4 linked regions of the Drosophila melanogaster genome follow. The protein of the gene in region 4 interacts with the protein of the main gene of each other region in a pairwise test. Each region holds a gene or a part of one and is shown on either strand. Other genes may lie near its edges. The genes, in order: narya, gt, CG14183 and REPTOR-BP.

Region 1 (3,329 bases), on a different chromosome or scaffold from region 4:
AATTTGTAACATGTTAGCAATGGGTATCCCGCAGTCGGGACACACGCCGTCCATCCTACTTTTTTTCTTGCGAAAAAGCGGACAAGCAAGCTGAGCACAAAACTCGACAGTAGCAACAATGTAGTTGCAAAGAAGTAGACAGTCGGGCGAGGCAGAAGGAGCTGCTGCCCTGCCGAGGAAGCGCACAACTATATCTGAAAATTGGACAGCTTGACAGGCAAAGACCTTTTCATAAACAAGCGTAGCTTCTGTGTCCCGAGATTAGGACAACACAGCACGGTCGAAAGGAGCGCCGCATTAAGGTGCAGATCCAATACAAATCTCTAAATCCCTTTTTGTCATCATCCTAAGCTAAAAACTATTTTGTAAGCTACAAAATTGTGCGAGATAAAAACTAAATCCTTGTGAGGAATTCACCCAGCTCTGTTGTCAGTGGCAAATTGAAAGCTGGACACTTGACAATTTTACATATTGCAATATTCAGTTAAAATAAGCAGCGCAGCTTGAGCAACGACGACCTATTGTGTAGCTGGCTAACTAACAGGCATACGTAGTTATCAAATCCCATATTTCGTATCCGATAATTTATTCTATAAATTCATTCTTTCAACAATTTGATTAAAATGGAAATTTCCCGGCGGCTTCAATGCCAATTGAACGGGGCATAATTGATTTTAATTAAAAATTCCATTGTTTTGGCCCAAAAACGAAATATTTTTGGTGGGAAATCCGAATACAGATTTCCGCCCAACATTTTTCAGTGCGTTTTTTTTTTTTCATTGTAACATGGCTGAAGGGTCCCTCAATTAAAGAAAGCAAATGTTTTTCATAACATTTTTGTTGATTTCCAAAGGGGACAGGCCAAAAGTTAATTTGTTTAGCAATTTTTCAATATGTTAAATTAAATATGTTTTTTTTTTTATAATTAAATACGTTTATTCAGACGATTACTTGTTATTTCGACACTGCTTTTTGTGGCGCAGAATGTCGATCGTTGTCAGTCGCAACTCCCTCTTGCAGGAGTTGCAGTAATAGCCGCCGGAGGAGTGCGAACTGGAGCTACTGGCTACCTCCGTTGAGGACTCTGTGCTCGTTGTTTTCGCCGTGCGGCTTTCCTGCGCCTTGCGACGCTTGCATTTGGATCGGTGCACCAGCTGCTCCAGCACATCGAACTCCTCCAGCTCGAAATCGCAGCGCGTACACTGCCATGGCTCTGCCCGTAGAGTCGCATCCATGGCCGTCGTCCACTGCTGTTCGGCCAAGCAGCTGTACACCACGTGCTCCGATACGTTGAGGCCGCCCTTTTCCTCGTTCGGTGTCATGGGAAAGTCGACGGCAAAGGGGTTCTCCTTGAGCTCCGCGAGTCGCGCGGAAGGTGCCTGATGAGTGTAGAGCCTCTTGATGTCGGCGGGAAGCAGTCGGCGTATCGCATACGCCACATCCAGCGCCATATAGTCCACAAGATCTTGCCACAGCGCGCTGCTCCTATCGTCACTTGAATGGGAAGGTGATTCCTGTTTGCTTTTGAGGTCTGCAAATTGGACAGCATTAAGTACATACGTATTAGATAACTAAGCTCCATTTACTAAGAATGCCAAGAACAACAAGCATTTTCTATAACTGAACAGTTCAAATATCGACAATTGTATATGTAAATACCTAAAAAAAAAAACGTTTTTAAGCATATGTCGTTCCCATCATTTGATTGTTACAATAATAACTGCTTTAAAATATTATGGTGAAAAATCTTTGAACCTGAATACACCACTTGCAGGAAAGGTGTGGTGAACAGATTGCAAGGCGAGAGTGTTCTCACCCGGCAGAGTGGCCAGACCGCTGAGGTAAGATCCGTTAGCCCCATTCGGATATCTAAATCACAATTGTTTAAGAAGAAAACTTGCAAGGCGAGGAAAAAAACATATATTGGTCACTATGTTTCGAGTGCATTGCAACAAGTGTTTCCGTCATCGCAAAACTGATCCAGCCGTGCCCTTCCACTTGACCCAGTGCCGGCACGTGATCTGCGGCCCCTGTTTGGGCCAATCCTCGCTAGAAAAGAACTGCCCGCTATGCGGCCAGGTGCTCAAAGCGATCCAGATCAACCGGGATATGCCAACTAGCGTGGCCAACTACTTCGCGGATCCCCTGCGATTCCAGCAGATCTACCGCAAGATCTCCAAGTTCCAAGCGGACCAGCGAGCATCGGACAACCTGGGTTTCTACCGTCAGTTGCAGCAGCTGGAGCAAAACAAGCGCCAGCTGGAGGGCTTTTGCAAGATGGAGGCGCAGCTGAACCAGAAGGTCGTGGAGGAAAAGAAGCGAATCGCTGAATTGCGCACCTACATCGCTTACCACGAGAATGCGCAGAGGATGACGAGGCGCCGGCACAGTGCAGGTGAGAGATTCCATACGCCGGAGTTCAAGGAGGCCTGGAACACCTCTATCAGCACTTCGGACAAATCGCCGTCGGATATGCCTTCTGATAGCTCCCGCCGGTCCGCGGACTTGGATACCCAGTCAACGCGGAGAAGATCTTTTGGCAGCGACACTAAAGGCTTTCGTCTTTAGTCACTCCAATTACTTGTATAATTTTTTATAGGAATTCTAAGACTATAACCACTTCTAACGATTCAATTAGGTTTTGACCTTCCAGAAGATTCCCAATATAAAGAACCAGATAGATTATTAAGTTGCGCTTAAGGTACTAATTATCATCCGTATTCTATTACTATTACTATTCAAATCGAGACGTTCCACTACTCATGTGCGGGATATGATAACCATAAACGGAAATATAACAATCTACTTTAGCTTACAAAACTCAAAAATCCCCCTAGTAGTTTTAATAATTCCAACCAATCTGGGGAGCACTCACCATCCAGCTTGTCGTAAAGCAGTCTGCTCCAACGTCGGCGCAACTCGATGGCCCGTCTTAAAAGCTCCATACCGCTGCCGGGCATGGGCAGATCCAGTCCCAGCCAGCCGTCGCAGGCGATCTGTGTGATGCCCGCGTTCGTGTCAATGGCGAAGCTGAAGAGCAATAGCGTCTGGGCAGCCGGCAGGCGGATGCAGTTAATCAGATAGGGCTTGGCGGTCTCCAGCAGCGACCTGTTGTAGTACGTAGTTTTTTGGGGATTAGTATGGCGCTGCAATTTCGTACAGACGCACGCACTCACTGGTAACAGAGCAACTGGTGGCGCTTGCTGAGCGGAAGCTTGGGCGTGTAGAAGTCTGGCTTGGGCAGCAGATCGCTTTCGGTCAGCTTAAGCAGCTCGAAGTGCTTGGCGAATTGCGAGTTTGGGTGCTGCAGCACGAAGGGCTTGAGCCGC
Region 2 (4,341 bases), on a different chromosome or scaffold from region 4:
AGAGATTTTCGGTTTAAATTACCAGGCGAACAGGAATTCCAGGAGGCGACCAACGATTAGTTGGTTTTCAGTAGACACCCGCTACTGAGTATGTTGGCCTGGTACCAAAAATCCAAAATTTGCCACTAAAATGCTAATTTTGTAAGCAAAATTAACAGATTTTCGGCTTAAATTACCAGGCGAACAGGAATTCCAGGAGGCGACCAACGATTAGTTGGTTTTCAGTAGACACCCGCTACTGAGTATGTTGGCCTGGTACCAAAAATCCAAAATTTGCCACTAAAATGCTAATTTTGTAAGCAAAATTAACAGATTTTCGGCTTAAATTACCAGGCGAACAGGAATTCCAGGAGGCGACCAACGATTAGTTGGTTTTCAGTAGACACCCGCTACTGAGTATGTTGGCCTGGTACCAAAAATCCCAAAATTTGCCACAAAAATGCTAATTTTGTAAGCAAAATTAACAGATTTTCGGTTTAAATTACCAGGCGAACAGGAGTTCCAGGAGGCGACCAACGAGAACAGAAATTCCAGGAGATAATTATTTTCGATAATTTATTGAAATTCATTCCTTAGGGCTATGAAAAAAATTCACTTATAAGTTAAACATTAATAGCTAGCTGGGACTTCTACAACTATAGATGATTCCATTGATAGTTAACTGGTGGGATTGCGAGATGCACTACAGCTAATACATTTTCCAAATATAACGTATACTCCAAGGACTTAAAGTACTTAAATGCGAGCGTGTAAAAAAAAAAGAAAGTTGAGCCCCCTAAACTATTCACAGATAAGCTGACCCAAAAACTGGACATACGATTCGGATCCTCGCGTTCAACGCATCAAGAGAGGAGTGGACCTTTAGGCGGTGGTTACTTTGGCGGAGGTGAAGGCGGCCAGCTGGACCTTGAGGGCGTCGATCTGGCACAAGAGCTCGATGTTCTGGCGTTCCAGATAGGCGGCCCTGATGGCGATCTCATCCTCCTTGATGCGGCGGCGATCGCGGGACTTCTTGGCGGCAGCATTGTTCTTGCGACGCCTCTCGTAGTATGCGGCATCCTTAACCTGGCTGCCCGAGCTGATGCCCGAGTTTGCTGCAGTAGCGTTAGCCAAGTTGCTGGAGCTGCTGGTGGCGGACTTGCTCTCGAAGTTGCCCGCCTGGGAGTCACAGTCGCTTGACTCCTCCGCAGCAGCGCGATCCTCGCTTTCGCTGTTGTTGTTTGAGGAGCTGCCTTCGTTGACGGATCCACTTCTTGAGTTGGTCCTTCGCATTTTTGGGTTGGTTACGGTGCGCGATCCTCCGTTGGAGCTGCGGATTTGCTCAAGCACTCGCTTCCGGTATTCCGTGTAGCGCTCCACTCGCGGATTGTCCAAAAGGACATCAGTGGCTGCGAAATTGGCAGCTATGACCAAGGGATCCCGGGGAAAGGCCTTGAAGGGACGGGTGTTCTTTCCCGCCTCGCCGCTGCTGGAGGTGGTTGGCGTGGTGGCCTCAACAGCCGGTGACAGGGGATTCTCCAGAACGTCTATCTGCATGGTGCTGGCGTTGCTGGCGGGTCTTGGTGAGTTGGTCGAAGAAGCGGCAGCAGCAGCGGCGGCCGCAGCAGAGGCGGCAGCAAAGGTTTGCAGAAGGTTAGCGGTTGGTGTAACCTTGGGCGGAGCAGCAGTGGGCGTGGCTTGCTCCTGCTTGATGTTGCTGTAGTAAAAAGCGGGATACAGGGAGGCTAATTGTTGCTGCTGCTGCTGTTGCTGTTGTTGCTGCTGATGTTGCTGCTGTTGCATTTGGGCGGCATACAGAAGATTGCTGGTGGGCGAAGCCGAGGGGGAACCACTGCCGTAGCTATAGCTTGTTTGATACGGCGAGGGAGTCTTCCTGGGTGTCTCTACGCTGTCACATCGACGGGAAAGATCCAGGACCTCTGCAGAGGAGGTATGCTGCTGCTGCAGCTGCTGATGTTGCTGCTGCTGCTGTTGCTGTTGTTGCTGCTGACTGAGGGCAGCTCCCAGCAACTGCTGCTGGTAGGCGTAGGCCGTGTACAGATCCATTTTGGGTAGGCCCAAGGATCCCTGAACCGGCAATTGGCTGTGCGGCAAGTGGTGCAGTGGTTGCTGCTGGTGGTGCTGGTACTGGTGGTGGTGCATCAGGGGCTTGCGATCTGCAAAGATTGAGAGAGAGAGGGGATTTGTTAGTTTACGGATCGAGGAGAAACCAAGGGGCGTGGCCAACTTACCAGTCTTGAGATCGAAGAACTGCCCGGCCATGAGTTTCTCGTGCATTAGCATGGTGTTCGGTGTATGGTCTCTGGGTTTAATCCAACTGATTGACGCTATATAGACTGGTGATCTAGCTCTGATGTTGCTATATCTTCACGCTGACGATGTCGAACGCAAACTGATTTCCTCTCGTCGGAACCCCCTGCATTTATACCGAAAATCCGGAGGCTGCGCCGACGCCTCATTCACATCGAAATGGCGGACACGAGCGGCCAGCCGAAGCGGTACGAAGCAGGTAGGCGGTACAAAGGCCAAAGGGCAAAGGGGTGATTCTGGCTTTGCTTCTGACTCTGTCCCGCTCTGGCCTGTTGCCCTCTCTGTCTCACCGCTTTCGAAAGGGTTTTACAAGGGTGCGGCTGCCCTTTCCCTCATTTGGTTTTCGCAGTTTTCGCAAAAATCATAGTTCTTTGTGCTATTGTTAGTTCGCCATTTAACGTAATTTTAAAAAGAAAGTACAAAGAGTTTTCGAACTTTACGTTTCATCAGTTTCCGCGAAAGGATATGGTTTTTTCTTGGTTTTAATATTCAATGGGAAAAAATAGGAAAATTCGTACCACCTCTGCAGTGCTTTACATTTCGTTTTCATGGAATTGGTTAAAAATATTCATAATCAATATAGAGTTATAAACTTCGGCTCTATTTTCATAGGCGTTCATTGCGATGTTATAAGTCCAAGTTTGAGGAAACCCCAGATTTTTGTATATACCAGCATTGTGCATTTGATTTTTTATTACAATTGTACCTAACTTACTTGCTTTGACATCCAACTGATAAAACCCTTACCCAAAAACCAATCTTAAAAATCTTAAGTTATTAAACCTTTAGATTTAAGTAACTGCTGTATATATTGCTTTCAAATATAAAGAATAAACCGCAATTAAACATCGTAGGCTATTCTCTTCAGCACTGAAATAAACCATACTTCTGAATCTTCTAGAACATTTCGCATATCAAAGACCCCCCGACCGTAGACTATTATAATTACACTCAAATCATACTTTTCTGGCCAGAAAGAGAGGCATCTGGCAGAAGAAAAGAGATGGAATCTAGTTTGTTGATAATAGATGCACAACATCCAAGGGTTGTGATGGCTAAATCCGTTTGTTTTGCGCTTTTGTTTCGAAATCCTTTTGCTGACCAGCCCATCTAGAATCTGTGTATCCATGCGATGGCGAATTCGTTGGATTGTGCGTGACAAATTATGGAAATTAGGACGAGTTCTGGCGTTCTTGCAATTTTCAGCCCTTTTCGGCTGGCGTAATTCGCATCCTTTTCTTATTTCGGCAATGAAAACTCGGCTTCCCGGAATTTTGGCAAGGACACTCGCCAGTCTGCCCATTTGATTCATGACGCCGCCAGCCCGAGGATCGAGAATCGAGAGTCCAGGATCATTGCGACAAGTGGCCGTCCGTGTTGACTGCTCGTGTTTGCCCTCCTCCTTAAACATCCTTGATTCTACGTCCTTTATCCCTTTGGCTTCCGCTGCGGCGTGGGATGTGGGATCCTCGACAAGTTGTTTCACTTTGTTAACTGTTTGTCCTAACGGTCGCCTCGACAGCCAACGGAAGTGGGTAGCGGTACAAAGTTGGCTATCATCCATGGGAAATGTTATGCTAGATACTTACTGCAGCTAATTCGAGGACATAACGTAGTTTAGATTTGTTACGCTGAAATGTTATCAAATCCTATCAACAATACCTACATTATATACTATCTTTCATTCATTCTCTTTTTACAACTGCCCATTCAGGGGGATTGGGTGAATTGCAAATAAAAAGAGGGATCGATCGATGGTAATCAGTAAAAAACCGCGAACTTATCCGCTAATCCGTGCGCTAATCCAACCGTAAAAATGGTGGATTAAACTAAAACTCGGACCGTCACGTCGCCGTCATTGAGTCGATCCCTTACCTGCGGTTACCGGGCCCGAACCCGAGCCCTTCCAGATCCTGGACATACGTATAGCCCAGCCCAATCGATCCCGAGCAGATGCCATAAAAAGTCGCGGCCGAAGTCGAAGCCAAAGAGTTGCCAAGTTCGGTGTAAAAACCAGATTCAGCGAAAAAA
Region 3 (5,278 bases), on a different chromosome or scaffold from region 4:
CATCAATCAAGAATGTGCTCGTTCTCGTGGGCTGGCTGTTGGGGAAAATGTCATATAGGTTGATAGAAAAAACAGCAATATAAATATTTCAAATTAATAATTGATGTCTACCAAAAGCAGTTAAATTTTTTAATATCTTCACAATTATTGCCGATTTCCAATAAAAATATAACAAATTAATAAAGTATAAATTTAAATCAACTTAATTCCCAATAAAAAGTATTTCATAATAAATAAAACAAGGATAACGCTAGGAACAGTAAGTAATAAACTAGTATTCCCTTATGAAAACCCATGAATTTAATGTCCGATTAAAATTGTAATATTTAGCGCCTAATCGATAACAAGTATGTATACAGCTGTTTTAAACTGTCTGGTAGCACTGATCTTATCGAATATGTACAATTCCATCCCTAGAAAAACTTGCATAAAAAATAAAGAACAATTGAACAATTGCATTTAGAATGGAGTATGTGCACTCTGTTTGGAGCTACCTAGCCTCGATCTGCAACTGCTGGCAATGCACCGAAGATCCAGGTGCGCAGGTAATCCGCACATTCCCCTTTCCCCGTCAACAGACCGAATACACAATGCGTTCCATCTGCAGCCCAACGAGCCGAACGAGCGGACACACCTTCTCGTGGACCCGGTGAACCATAGTCCTGCCCTTCGACGGAGCAACTCCGATGGCCTCAGCACCGACTACGCCCACTCCCTTCCCAAGAAGGACGATCAGAACGCCCTCTCCAGACTGGTGCAGAATACTGCGATGTACGTAGTTGATAGTGTATAGGGTCCACATTTGGCACTATCATATACAATTCCATTGATTGGAATGCTAGCATTTTACAGCGATTGCTATACTATACTATACTATAGTAGTATACCTACGTAGTTATAGCGATGGCAGGATCTAGTATGTAGTATGGTTATACCCAAGCATTTATCGGGATGTTCAATGCAACAAAGCAACACAGCCCTAATTATCGCTTATCTATATTATATTTGTATTCGCTTATACGCTACTTTGCTCTCCAGAAACATGATAAACGTTGGAGCCATGGACTGTCACAGCCTGGAGCACCAGGAGTACGCCGATAGAATAAGATTGTACTCGCAGCGGTTGCATCAACAGTGGAACAACGGCCAGCACGCCAGTATCGCACCAAAAGGTTTGCAATATAGCTAGATTGAAAGGGTGAATGATGACTAACAATTAAATGAACAACAGGTCTCCTTAAAGATGTACCAAGCCATCAGTTCTATCTGTCTAAGCCAACCTATCCAGATGACACTGCTCAAGTGAGTTTTACTTTTCGCAAATTGCTTGTTGCTTACCAATTTCGTATGTTTTTAGATGAAGCTCTTCACCGAGAAGGCACACATCAGTGTCTCGCACATACAGATCGACCACAAAGAGGCCGTGGTTGTTCCCTTCCGGATTCCCTGATTATCGTATCTTAAGTGAAATAAAGTGATAAATTTATATAAAATCAAAATCTATATTGGTACTAAGTAGCCCTTGAATAACCAGGTAATCGACTTATTTTCATTAAGTGTACAGAAGCAAATAAATACATACTATATTCTTAACACGGCAAGACATTTTTTTTATTTAGGAAGGCACACACACACACATATAGCTAAAATCCAAAATGTCGTTCGATCTTAACCATAAATTTTGGGTCTACACGCGCAAGGAAATTGGTAAATTAATCAAGAAGCAGAACCGCCTGAAGAAGATTGAGCCGCCAGAGGAAAAGGCAGTATCGTATAAAATTTACGCAGAGCTCTATGTTTTGTATGTGGAGCTGGTCAATAAGTTAAGTTTCATATACCACAATACTTTCCAAGTGCAAAAGCGGGCATTGGTACGTGTTTTGGTGGAGAATGCCACTCAGCAGCTAATGCAACTCAAGGAGGAGTTAAAAGACTTGGAAATGAGCGAATACATTTACATAGATAAGGCGCTGATCGCTAGGAAGCTAACACCACGGGACCTGGTCGTATGGAGGTCACCACAATTCCTTTACCGTCGCCCGTTGGACATTCAAAATATCATTGCCGACAACCGATTGTACATGAACGATGAGGAAAAGGAAGAAAAGGCAGCCCAGGATTGGGTTCCGATCAGTGAGGCGGTCAAGCTTATCCAAGCTCACGAGAGGGCGCGCCGAGCTCGGGTTTACAAGTCCAACATAAAGTACGACAAGAAAAAGTTCCTCAAGGTCCATCAAAGAAAGAAAATAAATTACAAATTCACCTTTAAGCCTGATCAGGCAATGAGTATTCCCGTGAAGAGAACCATTTTTTCAGCTGACTTCTTGAAGGCGGACGAGTCCTGCGAAAATCTTATCAAAAAGGATGATGTAGCGGATACCGCAATAGATGGCAAGTAGCTAGATCGTTTCAAAACAATTAATTTGGTTTTTAATTATTTTCTAGATGAGGAAGCCTTAAGTGCAATACAGAACAATGCTGCTTGTAAAATCCAAAGTTGTTGGCGTGGTTACAAGACGCGGAAAATAGTTAAGATTAGGAAGCGGTTCAAGGAGGAATTGTATGGTATGAAGAAAATTAGGAAACTGAAGCGACCCAATCAGACGGCAAATTCTATTATGGAAATGTACAAGAACGAGATGCTCAAGAAGAAGCTGGATGAGGACTTCATCAACTTGATCAACGATGAGCGCACCCGATTGCTGCAATTCCGAAGTCCATGGATGATGGAAGATATATCCGATCATATCCGGGCATGGTTCAAGGAATTGTGAGTTGTTTTTCATTGAGGCAAAAAAGGCAAAAACGTATAACTCGTACTTAACAGCTACGACGCGACTGGGAATTTTCATCCTTATCCCGATCCTGTAAAACAAGGAACGGTACTGGTTGTCATTGATGAAACAATGACGCCAATGGAATTTCAGGAAAGCCTTGGTAAAAAGCCGCTGTCAAAAGCCGAGTTGAAGAAACTTCGCGATAAGGAGAAGAAAGAGAAAAGGAAAAAGAAGGAAAAGCTAAAACAACTGAAAATGAAGGAAGCTAAACGTCGGAAGAAATTGAGAGACGCTGGAGTCATCGATATTGGCTACGAGCTAACTGCAAGCAAGGCAATTGGTAGATAGTTTGACTTAATGGAGAATGTTTCCATTGTCTCCAAATACTCTCTTCAATTTTAGAAAACATTGAAGAAACAATGAAGAAGTACTCCAAGGACTGGAGAAATGTCGATGAATATCTAAACAAGAATCATGATCCCATCAAGGAATGGGTTACTGAGGAGCAACTGGCAAAGATTCATCAGGAAGTGAGGGGCTTGGTCGACGAATACATGAGGTAAATTTATTTATATTTACAATGAAAATATAACTTTTCAACTTCCAGGGTTGAGTATGAGTTGCTGCGGGAGGCCTTGGCGAAGGATAACGATGAGAAGTACAAGGCTCTCAAGGTGAAGTATCCTAAGAAGAAGAAGGAGAAGAGGAAGAAGAAGCCCAAGGACATGACAGGCGATCGGACACTGGAATCCCTGTACAATGAGCTCAAAGATGCCGGCATAATAGAGGAAATTGGTCATAGGGACTTTGATGAGTTCATAACGGACTTCAACTTTGTGGCAGACGACACTCGAGATGAAGATGGCTTAACGTATGTTGTAGTTATTTGTTGAAAGAGCTACTAAGCCTAACAAAAAAAATTAATATCGATTTAAAATTCAGCACATTGGGCCCAGCAAAGGGTGACATTAAAATGGTTATCCAAGAGTCGATGCTGGGAATGGGCGAATTCGATGTTCCGAAGCCGAAGTCTCTTTTGCTAATTGGACCTCTGAATAGCGGAAAACGATTGCTGTGTGAAATCATTGCATCCGAACTAGGTATAGTAACATTTTGTTGGGAATTGTTCTTTTTTTTTTTTTTTTTTTTTTTGTCGGAGCACTTAAACCTTCTGTCTACTCCAGATGCAGTTTTTATGAACCTAAGTCCCGAGAATACCTACAAATATGCCAAAGACTTGAAGTACTTCCTGCATGTTATTCTAAAAGTGGCTAAGGCTTTTCAGCCCACCATAATGTACATCGAGGAAGCGCATAGACTATTTTGGAAAAAGGTTCCGCCTGAGGCAGTGGAGATTAACCCCAGACTGCTGGGCACCTCGTTAGCTAGCAAGATCTTGAAACCACTGAAGAAAAATGACAAAATTGTACTAGTCGGCACGAGTAACATGCCCTGGGCGGCCAATGGAGGCATCAAGCGAGCGTTCCAAAAAGTACTGCTTATTCCGAAGTGCGATTACGGCACTAGCTTCCTGCTGTGGCTGGAACTGATGACCGAGAACGCGCCAGATGACATGAAGGAGTACGCCTACTCGGCACTGGCACGCGTCCTTCAGGCGTACAACTCCGGCGACATTGATGATAACGTTAAGGAGACCTTGAACATCGACCGTAAGATGCGACTCAAGAATGAGGCATTGGATCCGAACGAGTTCCTTGAATATTTCCTGAGCAAGAATGAGCCTCCCATTTTCCCTCCAGATGAGAAGGTATACTTGCTTACTTAATACATGTTTAGCAACTAAGTCATTTAACTGAAATTCTTTTTAGATAATGGATAAGTTCAATAAATGGTTCGGCAGCTCAAACAAGCTGGAAAAGCTGAGAAAATCGTATATGGCTCAAAAGTTGGCGAAGGCAAGCAAAAAGAAATAAATAAATCAGTTTAAAACTTATTTAAATATGCATTTTCATATATAACTATTTGTAAGTGTAAACTTACCTTGGCCTTAAACTAATGATACTATGGAAGTGCAGATGTTCTTTGTGTCTTTTTTATTGAAAATATATAACCAAAGTTTTCCTATGGAAAATAGTATCTAACGAAATGAAATAATTTGTGTAAAATGTAGTTCTTATATATTAAGCATGTCATTTAATTGTTTGTTTGTTGTTGTGGTAAAAACTCCTCCAACTCAGAATCTTCAATTTCACACAGTCGAACCGAAATGTTGCTGTTGGATCCAATTTCTCCGACAGTGCATGGAAATAGGTATGCCTCCTCTGAATTTTCTGCATAATTAGAGAGAATCGTGATATTTGTAAGATATGTAAAGGCATTTCCCTTGCTTACCACTTATCGTCCTCCTGGTTTTTATTTCCATCCTAGAAATCGGCCCCTCGGTCATAGAGCTTTCCCCATCGGTCTCACTTGGAAAATGCATCGTCGGTAAATACGAATCAGGATGTCTTAAATATACTTTGCCTGTGGAATAGATCAGA
Region 4 (3,084 bases):
TCTACGTTATAACTTAAATTTTACGTGCTTGCAATTGTCATGTTAATGGGTATTCGTTAAATAAATAATGAAGAGACGACGACTATCAGTTTTTTGTTTTTTCTTTTTTTTTTATCATTCTGTTGTTGTTGTTGATGTGGGGGAATGAGGGAATCTGTTGGACGATCGAAAACGATCGAATGCTACGATTTTAAATGTTTGAGTCTGCGTTTTACGGTCGCGCTTAAGTTATTATTTATTAATCTTTACTCATAGGCAATCCTTAAGCAACTATGAGTGGTGTTGTCATTAGAATCGATGGTTTCCCACCGGCGAGCGGGACCTGAAGCGTCCGGCCGACTGACCACCAGTGCGTCCGTAGCTGGCGCTACTTCCGCTGCTGTAGCGGCTGCTGTCGCGTCCACCGCCGTAAACCTCGCGGCGATTGAAGCCGCTGCCGCCGCCCTCTCTGCCATTATAGCTGCTTGCACCTGATCGGCCGGAGCTATAGCCCCGCTCCGTGTGCCGGCTTGAGGATCCGCTGGATCCGCGCTGCCGGAAACCGCCTCCGCCGCTACCACCGCTTGTGATGCTGTGCCGGCCAAAGTCGCCGCGTCGTCCGCCCCTGTCCATGGGTCCGCCACGCCTACCCTGGCGTGGCCGCCCTTTTGAGATCTCCACGCGCAGCTGGGAGCCGAGCAGCTCGGATCCGTTCAGTATGTCGCACGCCTTTTCGGCGTCGTCGCGGTGCTCGAACTCGACGAACGCAAATCCCGGCGGATTGAAGGCTATCCACACCGAATTCAGCTTGCCATACTTTGTGAACTCCCCCTCCAGATCATCCTTTTTCACTTTGTCGGTCAGATTGCCGACATACACCCGTGTCCCGCGCTGATCACCCATGCTGGACATCTGGATTCACTGTTTCTGATTCGTTTTCGGAGTTATCCTGCAAATCGGATAGCTGCCTTGAAAAATAAATAATCAATAAGTTATCACCACCGGACAATTTAGCGTTTGTATCTATATCAACTTTTCGACCAGGGTGGTTAAACTCGTTGCAAAAATGCTAATTTTCAAAAATATCCTCGCATTTGGAACACTGAGAATGGACGTGTGTTGGGATGTATTTATAGTTTAACGGCCCCGTAAAAAGGGACTTCCCGCTGCTCTAGTGACTTGTATTTTTAATTATTTTTATACTTTGTGCTGGGAAATGTATCATGGTAATCTGAATAATACGTCAATTTAATTTATATAATTTTATAAATATTTGTATGATCTTTAGTAAAGTAAATAAAGTAAAACAATATATAAAATGTTTGTTAATATATAGCCGTGTACTTTTATATTTTCTTCAAACCCCAAATAATGAATAATTATATTGAACATTTATTAATTATTATTTAATTAATTTATAATTTAACTATTATCATAATTTAACTATTTAAATATAATGACTATTATCATTTTAAGTCATTAAAAGAAAATTTGTTACGATTTAAACTTTATTTATATTTTTGTTCTTAAATATAAAATACAAATAGTTCCCTTAATGTGTTCCATTCCATCGTTTCTGTTAAGATATATTTCGATTGGCACCTTTGTGTGTAGTGGTTTTGTTTATTGTTACCTTGAGTATTTACGAAAGACGCATAATAACAAAGAGTTGCAAAGTTGTTGTATTATTTGAGAGTTATAATGGCTGATATGGAGATACAGAGCAACAAAATGTCAATAACGGAGGAAACACAAGTGGTAATATATTATTAAATATAAAAGATGTGGTCTTTTTGTTTGAACATGATCTGAATTGTTCTAATGCGCAGTAAGGCCTTGCGTGTATGTATATACACATATATAAGCTATCTTCTGTGTATGCGTGTATATACATATGTGATTTTTATCATGCAAAAGCGCCTATTTTCAAAAAAGATTTTAAGTTTGACTTATCGGAACTAAATTTTTGCGAATAAGAATATTGAAAGCAAATTGTTTTTGGGATATCGTCAAATATTTACATTTTATATTATATTTATAAGCAGACGCGCAAGGAATGTGGAAAAAGGGGACGAAAACCAGGAAGAAAGACGTCTACTGAAAAATTGGACATGAAAGCCAAACTAGGTAAGAACAACATTAATTTCCACTTATAATACTTAAACAACGGTATTATTTTTAATAGTAACAAAGTTTCCAAACACTAATACATGTTATTTCCTATGGAATTTTATATAACGTGTATTTTCCCTTGCAGAACGCAGCAGACAAAGTGCCAGGGAATGCCGGGCGCGCAAGAAGCTGCGGTATCAGTACCTGGAGGAACTGGTGGCGGATCGGGAGAAGGCTGTAGTTGCTTTGCGTACGGAACTGGAGCGCGTCGGTATATAACTTATCATGCCACGTCCAACCAATTTATTTATTCTCATCTTTATTGCAGTTAATTCAATGGAATAACCAGTTGAGCGAAAGCAACACTCCAACCAACAATGACCAGTTACTTCAGGAACTCGGAATCCTCAAACAAGAATAACCTACATTCTTATTTTTAGCTTAAGAATATTACTTTTATAATAAATGTACGACGGTTACTATTTATATTATTACGAAAATACTGCAGAAATTTTTGTTATTTTCTATATTGCATTTTACAGCTTTTTATTGTTTCATTTGTATAGTGATTAAAGCCAAATTAAAGTATTTTTATGATAAATAAGAACTAATTAAATATTTGTTATTTAAGGGTGTTAAACCAATTGGTACACTGGAACAGTGATATATGGAACGATTATTCTAAGGGTTCGATAACTTAGTCGTGAAAAGCCTATCAATGGTTTCTCCCATCTCTCCATCGGCATAAAAATACAGAATAGTCTAAGGAACTGAATAAATGTAAACATTATTTATAAACAGCCATTAATAGTTATTCAATTGACAAACTTTTGTGCTGTAAGCAGCGCTTACATATGTGCCAAAATATTCTCACAACCAACAGAATCTCCAACAAGATATTATGGCTTTAAATGGATTTTTAGAATTCTTCCAAAAGGGCAAGGTGTGTTTGGTCAATAACAAAATCATATGCAGTTGATGTATTTTTAAACT

The links.
Region 1: the proteins of REPTOR-BP (region 4) and narya interact in a two-hybrid assay, tested with the Drosophila melanogaster proteins (one large-scale study listed by BioGRID).
Region 2: the proteins of REPTOR-BP (region 4) and gt interact in a two-hybrid assay, tested with the Drosophila melanogaster proteins (2 studies listed by BioGRID, with this or other methods).
Region 3: the proteins of REPTOR-BP (region 4) and CG14183 interact in a two-hybrid assay, tested with the Drosophila melanogaster proteins (one large-scale study listed by BioGRID).

The regions. Positions count from the first base shown.
Region 1 is NC_004354.4:19,473,235-19,476,563, forward strand, and holds narya (narya), read left to right. Parts: upstream 1-1,828; 5' UTR 1,829-1,932; coding exon 1,933-2,568; 3' UTR 2,569-2,821; downstream 2,822-3,329. Other genes in the region: CG32533 (uncharacterized protein), read right to left, coding at 948-1,531, 2,876-3,108, 3,177-3,329. UniProt on the Drosophila melanogaster protein: Required for the formation of DNA double-strand breaks (DSBs) together with nenya and vilya during the meiotic recombination process. Plays a role in DSBs processing into crossovers.
Region 2 is NC_004354.4:2,426,570-2,430,910, forward strand, and holds gt (giant), read right to left. Parts: upstream 2,399-4,341; 5' UTR 2,284-2,398; coding exon 2,232-2,283; intron 2,157-2,231; coding exon 862-2,156; 3' UTR 544-861; downstream 1-543. UniProt on the Drosophila melanogaster protein: Represses the expression of both the krueppel and knirps segmentation gap genes. Binds, in vitro, to the krueppel regulatory elements CD1 and CD2. It is required in the early embryo for the development of portions of the head and abdomen.
Region 3 is NT_037436.4:20,024,139-20,029,416, reverse strand, and holds CG14183 (uncharacterized protein), read left to right. Parts: upstream 1-1,581; 5' UTR 1,582-1,655; coding exon 1,656-2,391; intron 2,392-2,445; coding exon 2,446-2,770; intron 2,771-2,827; coding exon 2,828-3,117; intron 3,118-3,179; coding exon 3,180-3,336; intron 3,337-3,384; coding exon 3,385-3,648; intron 3,649-3,719; coding exon 3,720-3,877; intron 3,878-3,961; coding exon 3,962-4,545; intron 4,546-4,606; coding exon 4,607-4,711; 3' UTR 4,712-4,730; downstream 4,731-5,278. Other genes in the region: Lamtor1 (late endosomal/lysosomal adaptor, MAPK and MTOR activator 1), read left to right, coding at 465-545, 608-771, 1,039-1,172, 1,232-1,302, 1,358-1,450; kug (kugelei), read right to left, coding at 4,932-5,068, 5,130-5,261.
Region 4 is NT_033779.5:10,262,528-10,265,611, forward strand, and holds REPTOR-BP (REPTOR-binding partner), read left to right. Parts: upstream 1-1,597; 5' UTR 1,598-1,680; coding exon 1,681-1,737; intron 1,738-2,021; coding exon 2,022-2,106; intron 2,107-2,236; coding exon 2,237-2,358; coding exon of another isoform or gene 2,359-2,362; intron 2,363-2,419; coding exon 2,420-2,512; 3' UTR 2,513-2,584; downstream 2,585-3,084. Other genes in the region: Rsf1 (repressor splicing factor 1), read right to left, coding at 289-891; Mob3 (MOB kinase activator 3), read left to right, coding at 2,993-3,034. UniProt on the Drosophila melanogaster protein: Transcriptional regulator that acts in the TORC1 signaling pathway to regulate energy homeostasis and promote survival during nutrient deprivation.